Linked DNA regions of Alligator mississippiensis. The protein of the gene in region 1 interacts with the protein of each later gene in a pairwise test. Links are inferred from orthologs where the notes say so. Each region holds a gene or a part of one and is shown in the gene's direction. Other genes may lie near its edges.

Evidence for each region. The genes of interacting proteins can lie anywhere in the genome.
Region 2: the proteins of HTT (region 1) and KPNA3 interact in binary tests that used the Homo sapiens proteins (3 or more experiments, as listed by UniProt). The link is inferred for Alligator mississippiensis from reciprocal best matches to the Homo sapiens genes HTT and KPNA3.

The regions. Positions count from the first base shown.
Region 1 is NC_081825.1:21,137,292-21,145,253, forward strand, and holds the start of HTT (huntingtin), read left to right. Parts: upstream 1-4,949; 5' UTR 4,950-5,028; coding exon 5,029-5,129; intron 5,130-7,962.
Region 2 is NC_081824.1:414,741,490-414,749,336, reverse strand, and holds the start of KPNA3 (importin subunit alpha-4), read left to right. Parts: upstream 1-4,843; 5' UTR 4,844-4,916; coding exon 4,917-4,997; intron 4,998-5,521; exon of another isoform or gene 5,522-5,864; intron 5,865-7,571; exon of another isoform or gene 7,572-7,660; intron 7,661-7,847. UniProt on the Homo sapiens protein: Functions in nuclear protein import as an adapter protein for nuclear receptor KPNB1. Binds specifically and directly to substrates containing either a simple or bipartite NLS motif.

The DNA.
Region 1 (7,962 bases):
TGGCTTCCCTTCCAATGGCTTCTGCTTCCTGTCCTTCAGCGGGGTGTAGCCTATAGGAGCCCATGGAGGGGGCCTGTGTGATGAGGGTCCTGGGTATTCTGCACAGCCTGTGTCGGGGGGCTCAGATGGTGTGCAGCACCCCCTATACTGCAGCTGCTCAAAAGTTGGACAGCCCTGTCTTAGATACTAATGATTTAAACTTTCTCAGGAAGTAAGGGACCTGAGTTCTAGGCCCTGTTCAGCCTGAAGGGTTCACACCTACTTTTCCCATGTCCCAGAAGAATAACTAACTACTAGGGCCTAGGCCATAGACTAATTTGAGTGCTGAAGCCCAGCAGATGCAGCAGCCTGCTCTGGTGCAAAAGACCTCCATCTTTCCCGTTGCAGCTCTACTACTATGCAGAAAAGAAGGCACACAGCAAGGGCAAGAGAGATTCTGGCAGCCTTCAGGGAACAGATATAGGCACCTGTCCTTCGGAGAGGAATTTGGGCTCTAGGTTTCAAGCAAGTGGAACCTTTGCTCAATTCCATCCTTTGCCTGAATGATAGAAGGGGATGGGAGTTCAGCCTTAGGCCAGTACTTAGCGTTTTTTATTGGCTAGCTCTAGGCAGTTGCCTCAAATCCCACCTTGAAGTGTCTTAACTTTCTCTGTGCAGGGAATCCAGGCACCTAACTGCATTCTGTTCTAGAGGCTATGTACCTACAAATTGTGTATTAGGGAGTCTAACTTGTCAGGATTGAAGTTGGACCTAGCCCTACAAGGAACTCTGATACTTCTTTTATTTAACTTAAAATAATCAAATATAGGCTTGACTAAATAAAAAATTTTCCATAGCTGAGGGGATACTCTGGAGCATCCATGTCAGGGAAGACAGCAAAGCTGAATTTGTATGGAACCAAAATCTATTTAAAAAAATCTTGTGTTAGTAATTGGAGCTTATGCTGCAGCTTTTCTCCAAACGAATGACAACAGCTGGCATAGCACTTATTCAATAAACAGAAATCAGTGATGTGAAAACAGGATGTACAGAAGTAAGAAAACAGAAGTGTAGGATTTACTGTGCAGTTACTTTTGCACTAAATAGGTCACATTTGTTCCTTTGCTACTTTTCGAAAAACATGTGCCTGAGTTGTCAGAGTTTTTAATTACACAGGGAAAATATTCCTTCCTTGTTTTAACTAATCTAACTTGTATAATGGGGGAGTTGCGATTAAACATATTCTAGCACCAGTTTTAAAACCAGCAGTTGTAACTGTATGGAAAATTCATTGCAATACCACATTGATTTTTTTTTTAATTGGATGGGCACTGACAGACATATTGACTTAAAAAAACAGCTTTATAATAGTAAGCTGTAAATTTAGCAGTAATTAATTTTGAATAGCAGAAGAAAATACCCTGGGATGTGGCACATCAGGCATGAGAGAGGAGTCCTTCCTTCTGGGAAATCAAAGTATTTGGAACATGTTTTATGGTCAAATAGGACAAGATATGAAGAGGTTATTCTAATTCAGTGAATGCTATACAAGTAAAGAGGAAGTCCATATAAACATAAAACATCATGCTGGTATTTAGTGCAGTAATATAGGTACAAAATAAATTTAGTTTGACTTTGACCTATACCTGCCTCAAAACAAGGGACTGGAAAACAGGAAAAAATGGGACCTCTTCCAGATTAAATTATTCACTTTGACAAGAATTGATGATGCGTTGCCAACTTTCAGCATAGCTTCCTGTAAAAATGTCTCCATTTACCCTGGTCAATGCCTTTGTTCTGCAATAAATGCATAGGGAGAAAGGAAGAGTAGGGAGGTGTTTGGCTTTTCCATTTTGATAAAGTAAGAATCAAGCAGCAATAGCGGTTGGCAAGCAAGTGTGTATTAAGTGCAGTTGCTGGAAATGGGTATAATCTGTTCTGTAAAACTATACTGAGTACTGATAGTACAGCAGTATTTGGCAAGTGTAATTTGCACTGTGTGTATAATGTATGAAATACATACTTCGGCCTGATAGTGGCTTCCGAAGATCTCTTGATTAATACATCCAATACCAGCCTTTGTCCATTCCAAGGAAAAAGCTACTTTTAGGACTTGTTTTTATGAGTTTATACATCGTTAGCTCTGTCGCTCAAGGGAAACGATAAGCATCCCTTCCACATCCTACATTACTGAGTTGAGCTTTTTAGTTTAATTGAATATACCCCTTCCCCTGACAAAAATGCGTCTTTGCCTTGCTTTGTACAATGTCTGTGAGTGAGAAGTACAGTCTGGTCTTCTGCTTCAAAGGGCAGGAGATACTGCTTGGCTGCTGCCATGTCCCACAGGAGAGGGCATGATTATTGCTTTGGCAATGCCCATCCACTCTGCTCTGCTGGTCCAAACATAATGAGTGGGGTGTACCCAGCCCTTGCTTTTAAGAAAGCATGAAAGCCAGGCCTACTGAAAATGGGCATAAAAATGAAAGGAGGGGTAGGCTGGGGGAGAGCTCCATTGGACTTCTACTTCAGGGTGTCTCCTGACATGGGCAACTGAAGCCCAGTGATCCTGTTGACTTGTTGTGGAGGGTCTGTGCATTAGTTGTGTGTGCATTTTTTTACATACAAGTTTTAAGTAAACGGGTTTAGAAATGGATTTGCATGTTGAGTTTCAAATGTATATTCTTTGTACATGTATGCAGTAAACACCCCCGCAGGGCTGGTGAAGTGGGGATGTGCTTGTCAGAAGCTGTAAGTGGCACCCCAGCAGTCTGGTTGGTTCTCTCACTTGGGTTACTTCAGCTTGTCCCCCTTGGAGGTTTGATGCTCTGTGCCATCCCACCCCTGGGTAACTGCCTTCACTTCTGTGGGGGAGTCCTGAACACCCTTTTTTGCTGTGCTGGGTGTGTCACTATGTTTCACCTCCCGGATGCTCTGATCCTAGAAATAGCTCGATCTGAATGAGAGAAGCAAATCAAGAGCAGTGAATTGTGAGGCACAGTTTCAAGGGAGTCGAGATACCCAGGCCAGCGATGGCACCTGATGGTAGTAAGTCATGACCCTAGGAAAGAACAATGGTCACGAATCATGACTCTGTTTCCTTACTCCCTACTGAATAGGTCAAGAGCTCCTTATCTTAGAAGGAGGAGTGGGAATTCAGACACTTGAACCTGAAGGGTATAAGACTCCCCCAGACAAAGGCAGAGGTGGGCGAGCGTGGAGCTTGCCTCACACCCTGGGGGCCCTGGTGTAGCAGAAAGCCCCCTTTTCCTCTTGCCTGCATTTGCTCTCCCCTCTTAGAATATGTTTTTCCTCTTCTACCTTTTCTTCCTTCCTCTTTCTTTCACTTTAAGATAAGGAATTGTGTTTTAAAATTTGTATGTGTGCATTTTGTATCTCCCCTTGTATTTTGGTATTTTTATCTATTTGTGTGCCATGGCATTACTCTTGTAGCTTATATTTTATACTCCTCACCTTTCAACTTTCAACTATAAATGTCTTTAGTAACAATGTTAACAAGGGCAGGAGTCAAACTGTTGCTTCCCTGTATCAGGCTGGCCCCTGAAAGAGCGAGTGAATCAGTGACTGAATGCATAACACAGTAGCAGACAGCAATTAACACCTAGGGAAACCGCAGATCAACCAATGGAAGAAATCAATAGAAGACAATGTAACAACCGGGAAATCTCTAAACTTCACTGTTCAAGGGCTAGAAGCCCTGGTCTGAGTTAATCAACGCCGGGGACCAACTTTTGGGATGAATATCTCCAGATCGACCGCTCCCAGAGCCCTATTCAAAATTAATCAACGGACGCTCCACGAGGGTCAACGACCCGTGGATTGGGCAAACCTGAAAACTGGGAAGTCACCAAAGTCTGCCAAGGACAGGTAAAAAGCAGTGAAAAGTGACCGTTAGGGGCGCCCTCTTGATCTCCAACTTGACCAGCACCTGACCTGTCCAGTCAGAAGGACCAGCCGGCGACCCCCTTCTGGAAGATAACACCACGCTGGAAGAAGCCTCAACGGCAGACTCCAGCGCCTGTGGGATAGCTATACCTGACTCTCGGAGCTTGCTACTGTGGGGGTGTGCATGTGTGCGTGTGGGCATCAGCTCCAAGGCTTATGATTTAACTTCATTACAGTGTTTCAATCCGCCTAATAAACCAGAATTTTAAGGATCCTGAGTTGGACATTTGTAGCCAACACTGGGACCTGGCACCGCGCAATGAGCCGGGTTTCTCTCTGCATGTCCCTGCTCTCGGGGACGCTGCCTGACTGCTAATGCCCCAGTGCGCTGGTGTCTGCTTCCGAGGGAAAAGCAATCAGGACCGTGGTAGAGGTGAAATCTTTTAGATTTTTGCAAAAAACATGATTTAATTGCAAGCTTTGGGGGCGGGGGGGTAAAAGTCTAGTTGCTCTAATAAAAGAGATCTCCTCTACCACAAGTCCTGATTGCTTTTGCCTCCAGACCAAGCCAGCTACAACCTAGATATTCAGAGGAACTTGCTCTGTCTTCTCTGGATAAAACACGAGCTCACACCCCCCGGGACACCCCCATGCCCTACCCCACTGCGACGGGGGCAGCTCGGGGGCGCACCCAACGTGCCAGTCTCCTTTCTAGGAGCTGTGGGGGCTGCTATGAATCAGGTCCCCCCTCTCCCCTCCGCCTGGCTCAGCCGCCGGGCACGAAGCATCGGCACCGCATAGCCAGCAGAGGGCGCCCGCGTGCCGAGTACCCGAGCGGCGCTAGGACCCGCCCACTAGCAGAGCCAAGTGGGCGGAGCGCCCGGAGGGAGCGTGGCTCCGTTCGTCACTGCAGCTCTCAACCAAGCTTGTCATTTCCCTCCCTACCCTGCTAGTGGCGGGGAGGGCGAATCCCGGGTCCTCGATCTTCGTTTCTGATTGGCGGATGAGGCTGTCGCTCCCCCCCCTCCACCCGTTGCCCTCGTGAGCGCCTCCGCGCGGGGCACGACGGGACGTGGCCAAGATGGCGGCGAGGTAACCCGGAGCCATCGCGGCCCCTGCAGCGTCTCGCCCGTTCCTCGCGGCGCCATGGCCACTATGGAGAAGCTGATGAAGGCCTTCGAGTCGCTGCGCTCCTTCCAGCAGCAGCAGGGCCCGGCCACCGTCCCCGAGGAGCCGCTGCACAGGCCGTGAGTGCCGGGTCGGGCCGAGGGACCCCCCGAGGCGGCAGGGAGGCAGCTCCCGCCGGGCCGCGGGCTCCTGCTGCTGCCGCGGAGCCGCTGCCCAGGGAAGCTGTGGGCTTGCCCCTGTCGGCAGAGGCGGTGCGGGCCCTGGCCGGGGCGGTGTCGGCGTCTGCCTTCTGCTACGGGGGCTGCCCCCGCTGGCCGGCTCCCCGTGTCTGAGGGGCTGAGCCTCCCTCAGAGGCGCTGGGTGTTGGCTGCTGCTGGCACCAAACCCGGAGGTTTCTGGCTGGAGGGCCTTGCCCCTCTGCTCGGGGTCAGTCCGGTCGCCACATTTCATGCCAGGGAGAAATTTTTAAGCTATGGTCAGGTTGGTGCAGGCTGAGGGGGTTTTGCTTTCCTTTGCAGGATTTGTTGAGCGATGTCAACAACATCTCATAGAAACAGGACGCTGGCTTCAGCGGCGCTCCTGCTTTACCTGGGGCAGGCTCGGGTGTGTTGTGTCAGGGCTGGCGGTCATCTTAGGCACGGTTTAGATTATGGTTTGAATAGGGATGATCCTGTGTGGGGCAGGGTTGGACTGGATGAGCTCTGAAGGTCCCTTCCGCCCCTGCTTCTGCGTGACTTGACGTCTCTGTTGTTAAGAGCTCAGAAAGACCCTGCAGGGCAGAATGGTTTTTAATGTTGTGGGTTCTTATTCTGGGGTTTCTCTTGTGAACCATGTTTGCGCAGCTAATGGTACTGACGTTGTGTGGCATCCTGTGGCACCCCGAAAGGGTCTCGCAGCACCCCAGAGTGCTGAGGTGCCTTGGTTGAGCTTCGCTGACTCGGTGCGTGGTGTAAAGTGGTGCGCACTTTACATTGGAAGGAGCAGAAGGACGGAGAATATGTAATTTCTGAAGTGGAGGTTTTGGCAGCTTTAGGCATGGAGCCAGTTAGCAGTGGAGCTGGATTCCTGGGCACCAATGCCAAACCCAGACATCAGGCAAGCTGAAGGCAGGGCAGTTTTGCCGCCTTATGGAGTATCCCAAGGAGATTATATATATATATATATATATATATATATATATATATATATAGCACAAGCTTTAGTGAGCCTAAGCTCACGTCAGATCCTCTGAAAGAATCTGCCTAGAGCCTGCATCAGGGAAGCTGACATGGTATACATTGTTTCAAGAGAGTTGTCTTGAATGATCTTTATTTATTTTTCATGTTCTTATGGCAGGGCATGTGAGGAGAGCCGCCTGTGCCTCTGCTATGGAATTATATCCAGCTTTTCTGCATGTGTTGGTGCCTCTTGCTTCTTGGAGGGTAGGCTGAGGCATTTTCATCACTGAACAGCTTTAATACAAGCTTTCTCTTATCCAGTTTAATTGCATGTATCCAGAAAGGTGTTGATAAAGTAGCCTCTTACAGTCCTTCTCCAAAAGAGCTCTGGCTGTGAATTACTGCAAATATGGGCATGAAATACAAAAATAAAAATTTGTCTTGGGAACCTGCAAAATAAACATTGAGAAATCAGACTCTGACCTGTCCTTATCAACTCTGTTGCAATTTAGAATTGGCATAGGAAATTGGTTGTTTTGGGAATCCCCAGGAACTGTATGAGTGAAGTTACAATACAACTGTACTCTAACACTACGAAGGGTTATATTGGTAGTCTTTGCTTTAATTTTTTAAAATGATTTTAATACCCACATCCAGAAAGCTTCAGGCATGTGCTTTAAACTGAACTAGGGATACTAATAAGGGAGAAAAGTCTTATCTTTTTCTGTATGTTTACTTTTCATTTAATAGACTTTTGTGTAAAGTCTTTCACTGCTTTACCTCCTACAACTGTTATTTACAATATGATAAACGATCTTCTCAGTTGTTCAACCGTTCAGTTGTTCAACAATCTAATCCAACAGTCTTCTTAATTGTTGGTTTAAATCTTTCATTTAGAAGGAACAAGGAAGAGAAGGTAACTTGAGAACTAGATGTGGCAAAACTACAAGCTGGCTGGGTGGCTTAGTGACATGTACTTGTTCTTACTGTGAAAAGTTATCACTGTAACTTACAAGACCTTGCTTACTCAATGTCACTGTATAAATTACAACTTCATATTGTAAATAACTTTGAAAATACAGGAATACTATTAGGATGTTGGGAGGCTTGGAATTCAGACAAAATCACTTTGTTTGTAAGAAGTACCTGCATATAGTATAAGATTATAATCCATTTCTGTTGGTTATAGGAGGGAAGCAACTTGTGAATTTGTTTTTCTCTCTCTCAACTTTTCCTTTTAAACATTATCAAGCTATTTACAAACTCTCTTATTTTTTTTAACTGCCACTTCTGTCTTGGAAGAATGCAAATACTGAGGGTCAACTATACTTAAATACTTTAATAAAATTCCATCTGAATGCTGCTGGGTTTTTTTTTTAATGCGGGAGGAGCAAGAGAGAACTTTTTAAAGCATTCCTTTGTGCCATCTTCAACTTGGATGTTGTTTAGTCACAAAACAGCAACCTGACTAGACATAAAAGTGAAACTACTAGTTTCTTGATTACTAATTTTGAAAATTACATTTAATAATAATATTAGTTTTGTAAGACGAGCGTTACCTAAAAGAACCACATTCTGTTGTATGGACAAATAAATATTTTTAGAAGTAGCTTTGGTAAAAGTTGTGACAGCATGGTGAACTTTCAGCATTTAGCACGTCCTCCTGAGGATATGGGCAAACTGTTCAGTTTGAAGTGAGTTAGAGGGGCAGGTGGGTGGGAGGGAAGAGGAGGATTTATTAGGGAGTAGGTGACTGCTCTACTCCACCTGAAGAGGACCCGCATGATGAGACTCT
Region 2 (7,847 bases), on another chromosome or scaffold:
GGCCCTTGCCTTCCCCACAGATCATTCTGGAGGTAGGGTAGGGGTGGGTTCCCTTAAGTGCCTTAGCTTGCTAGATTTACAAGGGTTGCCCAGTGGGCTAGCAGTGGCGATAACCTCCCCAACCCCTGGTGGGCTTAGTTTAAAGCCCGGTCGAGCAGGTCAGCCAATCTGGCTGAGAAGAACTTCCTCCCCAGCGGAGTGAGGTGGAGGCTCTCTCTCCCCAGCAGACTGCTCTTTGGTGAGAGAGGCAGTGGACTGCGATCATAGAAGCCTAAGCCTTCATGATGACACCAGCGCTTCAGTCTTTGGTTGACTACCTTGATCCTCCTCTCCCTCCTCAGCCCATAGCCCGAAACTGGGAGGATTGAGGAAAACACCACCTGTGCCCCCAACCCCTTAAACCCCGCTCCCAAAACAATGTGGCATCTCATAACATGGCTGGGATTGCTCCGAGCCGTGTCATTCATGCCCACGTGGATAAAGGAGCATAGGGTAGTGGTTGTTGGGCTGGATGAGTTTAGGGATCCTCTTGGCCATGTCCTGGACACGGGTTCCCAGGAAGCAGCAGACCTCCTGGGCTAAGGGGGTGGGGCGACAGATTGCACCCTCAGTCACCCTCAGGAGGGAGTCTCCCACAACCACCACTCTACGAGTGGCCTTAGGGAGAGCAGGAATGGTAGTTGTGGGTGAGCCTGCATTGCCAGCAGCAGCTGGCAGCTCTGCAGGCTCTACTGGGGCTGCAAGAGATTTGTACCTGTTGCAAAACTCCAGAGGGGAGGGGACCTTGGTGCAGCGGGCCTTGGGGCCGCTGACCACCTTGGTCCAACCCCCTGGCCGGACTGTGTGGGAGATCCCTGAGTCCTCCCTTGTCCTGGAAGGTGACCTTGGTCTACCCTCTGCCTCCAGGGAGTGAAGGACCTGGCAGTAGGAGTCTATCTCCTGCTTGCCATCCCTGATGGCACGTAGTCTCTGGACTGTGGCCTGGAGCTCCTCAATCTGGTGCCCCAGAGACTACAAAGTGGAGCAAACCCTGCAAGAGGAGGTGGTCATGGTCCTGGTCCCACGTGCCTGGCAATGTGCCAGGCAACCAAGAGCCAGAGGCTCTGTCTGCATGGAGCCCAGAACTGTGGGTTCCATCTGGGTGAAGGCCTCTGAGGTGCCAGAGGGAGAGGCTGCAGATTCCAAGGGGACCCTTGGGGTGTGGCGTGTGCCCATCCACGTTGTGCCGCTGGTAATCTGGCTACTGATGGCACTAGCTTCCCTAGGACTCACTAGCAGGGCCTCGGGCCCTCCCGCTCACCATCCTGAGTGAACTCCCACGCTAAGCCATGCGCCGGGCCCAGAAGCACGCCTATTTGTGTGTCCTGTTTGTGTGGCTCCCTGGGGGGCTGGGCCAAATAGGAGCCAGGACAGGGCAAGACCCTCTTTGGCTCCTCTCAGCTGCCTCGCCGCAGCTGAGCTACCCTAGTCCCCTCCCACCACAGGCCCCACTTACCTCCGGCTGTGCTGGGGGTCATCGGGGTGCTCTGTGGCTGTTGGAGGTTGCTGGGGGGCTTCAGGGTGTGGGGGCGTGGCAGGCATGCACCCATGCATCTCGTGCCACTCTGAGCCAACATCTTGTTAAGAGTTTGGCCTGTCTATTTAATTGAGGACCCATACCTTCCTTTGTTTTTCTCTTCTGGCCTAATTTCTAATATAATAAAAGCCTTAGACCCTCTGTCCATCTGTCTGTCTGTCCGTCCAGAATACTCTGGCCCAACTGTGCATACGCTGCCAAGAGGGCGGGTGGGATGGGTTGTGCTCAGGCTGGGCTGAGTAATGGGGCAGTTGGAGCCCAGTGGTTCCTCCAGGGGTGAGGACAGGCGGCTTCTGCAGCTGCGTGCACCACGGGGGAACCAGGGCACATTCTCCCTCACTTTGGCTCCCTGGTGCCATGGCCCTGGACCACCCACTGGGCTTTGATTGCCCCATGCCCTGGCCCAGCCGGGGCCCTGTTCACAGTGAATGTGGCCCCACCTGGGCCGGGTCATGGGACAATTGGAGCCTGGCAGCTCCTCCAGAGGCATGACACCAAGGAGCGGAGCAGGGGGGCACATTGTCCCCTGTCTGTGCACAGGGCAAGGGTGGGCTTTGCTTCTGCTTCCTGCCTTGCTACTACTTCGACAGTGGTGCGGCACCATGGCCTGCTACACAGCGGGACTCGCATGGTGCTGTACCGCGCCGCTGTCAAAGCAGCGGCAGCGAGGCAGGGAGCAGAGGTAGATCCTGCCCCTACCCTATGCACAGACTGGGGGCCCCCAGCTTCCCAGCACCACACCTCTGGAGGAGCTGCTGGGGTCCGCTTGTCCCACAAACCGGGGGGCCCCAGTCACTGTGAAAGGGGCACCGGCATGGCTGGGTCGTGGGGTAATCCCCACAGTGCAGGAGGGAGTGGGGCAGGAGCAAGTAATTTGCCCCTGCCCCACTCCCTCCTGCACTTTGTCTCCCTCTCTGCCCTCCCAAGCCCAGACAGGCGGAGCGGGGTGGAGCAGGGCCAGAGCCAGAGTGGTGGTGGGGAGCAAGGGTGTGGCGGGGGGAGTGGGGTGGAGCTCAGAGTGGTGAAGTGGGGGGCATGGTGGGGGCAGTGGGTCTGGGCCTGGGCCTGGTGTGACAGGAAGGTGGGGCGGAGCTGGACACGGGGCTCCATCCCCGCCCACCTGCCCCCCACGGTCATTCTTTACGGGGAATTTGCTAGTATTTTTATAATGTCTTTTTGTTGCCCTTAACTTGCTTTACCAGGTGAAGTTTATTTTTTACTCTTGCCTTCCTGATTTTGTCCCTGCAAATTCTATTTCCTGGTATGCTTTCTTGGTAATCAGCCCATTTCTCCATTGCCTGTATGCTTTCCTTTTGCTTTTGAAGCATCTTAGAAGCTCCCTGTGCAGCCAGATTGCTCTCTTGCCATTCTTCTCATGCTTCTGTCATGTTGGAACAGCTTCTTGTTGACCTTCCAATACTCTTTAGAAGCTTCCAGCTGTCCTGGGTGCCTTTATCCTTTAGTCTGTCCTTCCATGACATGATGAGTACCATCTCCTTAAGTCACTTGAAAGCTGCCTTTATGAAATACAGTGTCCTAGTTCTGCTGATCTTACACTTTCCCAGTGTTAGGATCATAAATTCTATCATATTGTGATCTTTTTCTCGCCTTTGCATCCTCCACCAATTCTTCCCTATTAGTCAGGACAAAATCCAAGATAGATGATCTCCTAATTGTACCCTCAACTTTCTGGAAAAGAATGCTGTTCTCCACACAAGGTAGAAACTTGCTTGACTTTTTATGTTTGGCTATATGATTCTTCCAGTAGGTGTCTGGAATATCAAAGTCTCCCATCAAGACAATCTCATAACTGAGATAAATTTTGTCACTTTCTTGAAGTGTCTCATCCACACTTTCATCCTTTGTAGTCTATGATAAACCCTCACCATTTTATTGGTGCTGTATTTTTCACCTTTTATTTTCACCCACATATATTCTGACCTTCTTTCTGAACTGGAGAACAAATATGTATTTTTGACATACAAAGCAAATGCCACCTTTTCTCCCAATCCTGTCTTTCCAAAAAGAGAGTGTAGCTCTCACTGCTGAAATTCCAGTCATGGAAGCTGTCCCACCAAGTCTCTGTGATATCGTAGGAACATAAGAACTGACATGTATTGGGTCAGATCATAGGTCCATCTTCCCAGTATTATCCTGTGTCACACAGAGGCAGAGATTGGATGCTGAGAGGGAGAACAAATGGGTTTTTTTTTCACTGTTCATCTCTCACTTGCACCCTCCAGCATAGGTGACCACTTGTGAATCATGCCATTTTTTTACTTTGGCCTCTAAAGTCCATCTTGGAGGCACCAATATTGAAATCGCCACCCTTGGGAACAGAAGTGGATCCAGATGGTGCACTTGCACCCCCTTTGATTCCTGCTTCACCTTTAGTTTACAACCACCTGTTTGGCAGTACCAGCAGCATTTCTAGACTCTTCATCCACGTGTTAGCGACCCACTCTTCTTTTTCATGGGCTTGATGTTCCACCAGTCAAGCTAACCTCTGCTCTGCCATGCTGCTGTCTGCTTGTGGGAACGAGCTCTCTCACAGCCCTGCAGGTTTAACTCTCTTTGTTATTGTGTTGCTTCAATCTAACAGAATGACACAGCCCCAGGCCCCTATCCCTGAAACTTCAGGTTTATTTTTAACTAGAAGGGTGGTTGTTGCTTTATAGGTGATGATCCACCACGCTGCGGGCACCCCGTTTCCAGCGCCTGCATCCGCCCAGGCTTGGGAGCAACTCAGTTCTCGCAGGGGAACAGCTTGATAGACCAGGAGGAAACTAAGCAGCTGTGCAAGGCCTAGGCCCTAGCCCCGGACCCGGTGCAAGCCGAACTGGGAACTACGGGCCAAAGCCTACCCGGCTCACAAGGGGCCTGTTCCCGTGAAGCGAGAGCGGAGGGAGACAGAGGAGGAACCTAGGCCAAGCTGCACCCCGCGGAGGCGCTTGCAGGGACCACGGGGGGCCGTATGGTAACAGCCCGAGGCCGGAGCACCCCTTCCCCTCCCTATTAGCAGCGCAGCGAAGCCGCCGCGCGAGCAACTGCCGCTTGACGCTGGGCCTCGCAGCCCCCGGAGGCGGGACGGCAGGGCATGCTGGGTCTTGTGGTCCGCAGCCGCCGCAACGGCTTCGGCTCCGCGCCAGCGCGCGCAGCTGCGTCCGGGCGTCGTCACGTGCCTGGGGCCGCGCGCCCCGTCACTCAGCAACGGCGCTGCCCCCCCCAACGGCGCGCCCCGCCCCTCCCCGCGGCTCGTCACGGAACGTCCGTGCCCCGCCCCCCGCGAACCGCCGCCGGAGCCGCCTCGCAGGAGCTGGGAGCCGCCGCCGCCGCCGCCATGGCCGAGAACGCTGCCGCCGCCGCGGGCCTGGAGAACCACCGCATCAAGAGCTTCAAGAACAAGGGCCGCGACGTGGAGGTGAGCGCCGGGCCCTGCGCGCCGCGCCCCCCCAGCCGGCTCCCGCGGCCCGGCCCGGCGGGGAGGGGCCGCCAGAAAAATGCCTCCGGGTTTTAATTCCCCGTCACGCGGGCGGGGCACGGGGGCGGATCCTTCCCCCCTCACGCCGCCGGGCGCGGGGTGCGGGCAGGGCCCCCCATCCCCTCCCCTCCCCTCCCCAGCGCTGCCGGCCGGGCTGGGCCCTGTGGCCGCCGCTGTCGCCTCCCTCATCGGTGGTTCCGGGCGCTGGAGGCGGCGCTCGCGGGCCCCGGAGGCGGCGCTGAGCGCGCGCCCACCCAGCACCTCCCCCCCAGCCGCGGGGGCAGGCCGTGCCTGGGCCGCTAAAGGGGGTTGGATCCCGGCGGGGTGTGGGGGCTGCGGTAGGCCTCTGCGTGGCACCCGGCTGCCTTCCCCGACTCGTGTTGTTGGCCGAGCAGGTGGTGGGGAGCCTCTGTTGTCTTCCAGCTGAGATCAGGGGAGGGGAGATAAAGAGTGAGAGTCAACCTGCCGGAGAGAAAGGGGTGCGGAGCCTCGCTCTGACAGCTTTGCGCTCACCCGTGGGCGGCCGGCTCAGTCCAAAACGGGCTCTGAAGCAGCATCCCCCTCCCCCCAGCTCCTATGGGCTGGGGCAGAATTCGCACTTTAGCTGCTATTGTTTGGGTGGAGGCCAGTCTGTGCAGGCCTAGCTCAGCAGTAGCCTGCCTTTGTACAGATGACATTCACAATGGAAACTAATCTCTATCTCCGTGTATATGGCACTTGCTGGGGGTGAATCTGTGGGAAATAATGCTTTCTGCAAGGTGGATGCACTTGTGAAGGGACGGTTGTGTGCCTGGCAGTCCAGCAGTGGTAACTAAATTATTGTTATCTTTTTTTTTTCTTTTTTTTTTTAAGGGCCCCACCCTTAGATTAAGTAGCTGGCTTCATTACTGGTTCTTGCCTGCTTCTCGCCCTGTGAAATCGTTCATCCTCCTTTCCCGTCTCCCTATATTGAGAATATTGATTTTGCTTCATTGTTTCTGCGGAAATCAGGATCTTCATTTTCTGTCTCCCCAGCAGCTGGCCGAGCTGGTTAGAGAACTAAGTGGGGGCAGGCTGATATTCTCACTTGGTATGTCTTGCCATCTAGGCTTCCTGATATGTGGGCTTGTTTGAAGCTGGTGGCTAGTGAGCTCAGAAAAGGATGTTTCTGTTTACAAAGGGGAAACTGCCATAGCTGTCTCAAGAGAATTATTCAGCTTTAGTTGTGCTGGTGTACCTCCCTTGTGTGGCTGCTGTTCTCAAGTAGTTAATCTGCATTAATTGCTCTTATTATGGTTATTCTGTGGTCAGTTTTCCTGAATAGACTAGCCCTGAAGCTTCCCAGCTCAGTGGGTCACAATACTTAGCCCTGGTGGAGTGTAAAAGGTTCTGTACTAGAGCTAAAAGGTGATAAGGGAGAAAGCTTGTTCAGCATTAATTTCTGTACCCCCAATTTTTATTATTCTCTAAAGAAGTAAGGTAGTACTTAAAAAGCTTTAAAGTCACAGAAGAAATTAGATATTCGGTATAAAGGTTATGAATGCTTTACATTAAATTTAGTCGGTTTAAAAAACAAACAAACAATTTAAGCAGAACTCTTAAGAATCAGAATGTGGCTTGTGTTAAATATTTGGTGATTTTCAATATTTCTTGTCTGTTGACTTCCTGATTGACTTCCTGTTTAGCATGGAGGTCATTCCTGAAACTGGTGGTAAAAGTACCCTCATCAGTAGCTTTGCTTTAACCAGTTGTTATACCAGTGTATCTACTAGGATTATTTTAAAAGACTTGATGAGTTTACTATTGGGCAGGAGTATTTGCCCCCAATGGGGCACTAGGCTGGATCTGGACTGCAGGGCTCCTTGTGGGTTGGATCCAACCTGGGGCAGGAGGGCTGCCTCAGTAGCCACCATGGTGCAGGGCGGGCACTGCAGGTCTGGTGGGGGCTGGAGGAACACTGGAGTCTGGTGGCAGCAAGCCAAGCTTACTACTGATTGCCATGCCCAGCAGGGCCAAAGGGTCCAACTGTGCAGTCTGGTGGGCAGGATAGGGAGACTGTAGGCCAAATATGGCCTGCTGGCTCAATGATTGACACCCCTGCTCTAGGGAATACCACATGTGTTGAACTGTTCTTTTGAACAAGAGGTGCTGACTTGCAGGTTTGTTGCAGTGTAAAATGAATTGTATGCCAGGCAAAGCATTTACATCCTGTGATATGGCTATGGACCTGGTAACTAGTATAATTGAGTAACAGCTGTAAGGATGGCATCTTAAAGTCTAACTCTTTAATTCTAAAGTAGATAGATTGCAGTCCATTTCATTCAGCTGTGTGGTGCCATCATTGACTATAGGAGAGGTAGTTAACTTTGTTAGTCTAAGATCAGGAAGGGTAGGGGGCACAAGTTAGTCTTTAACTTGTTGCACTCTCTCTCTCCTAGTTGAGAATTGCTTGCTTTGAGCCTTTTGCCACAGTGAAGGTGCTTTTTATATAATATAGGAAATTCTTCCAAAATTATTGCCTTTACGTTTGTAGATAACTTTTTTAAACAAAAGAGGAACTCTAGAAACCAGGAGGAATACCACTGATCATTTGGGATGTTCAAGTGAGCTGAGATCTTTGTAAGGTAACGTTCGTAGAAAAATGAACTATTCTGGATGTTGGACTTGTATGTGCTGATTTATCTACCTTACAGTATTGCTTTTTTTAGGACATCTTAACTGTTAAATGCCTTATTTCCAAAAGAGGTTCACTGATATATCGGTTGTGTATCAGATTAGCACTGATTAAAAGGAAAATGAATGTTATTGGCT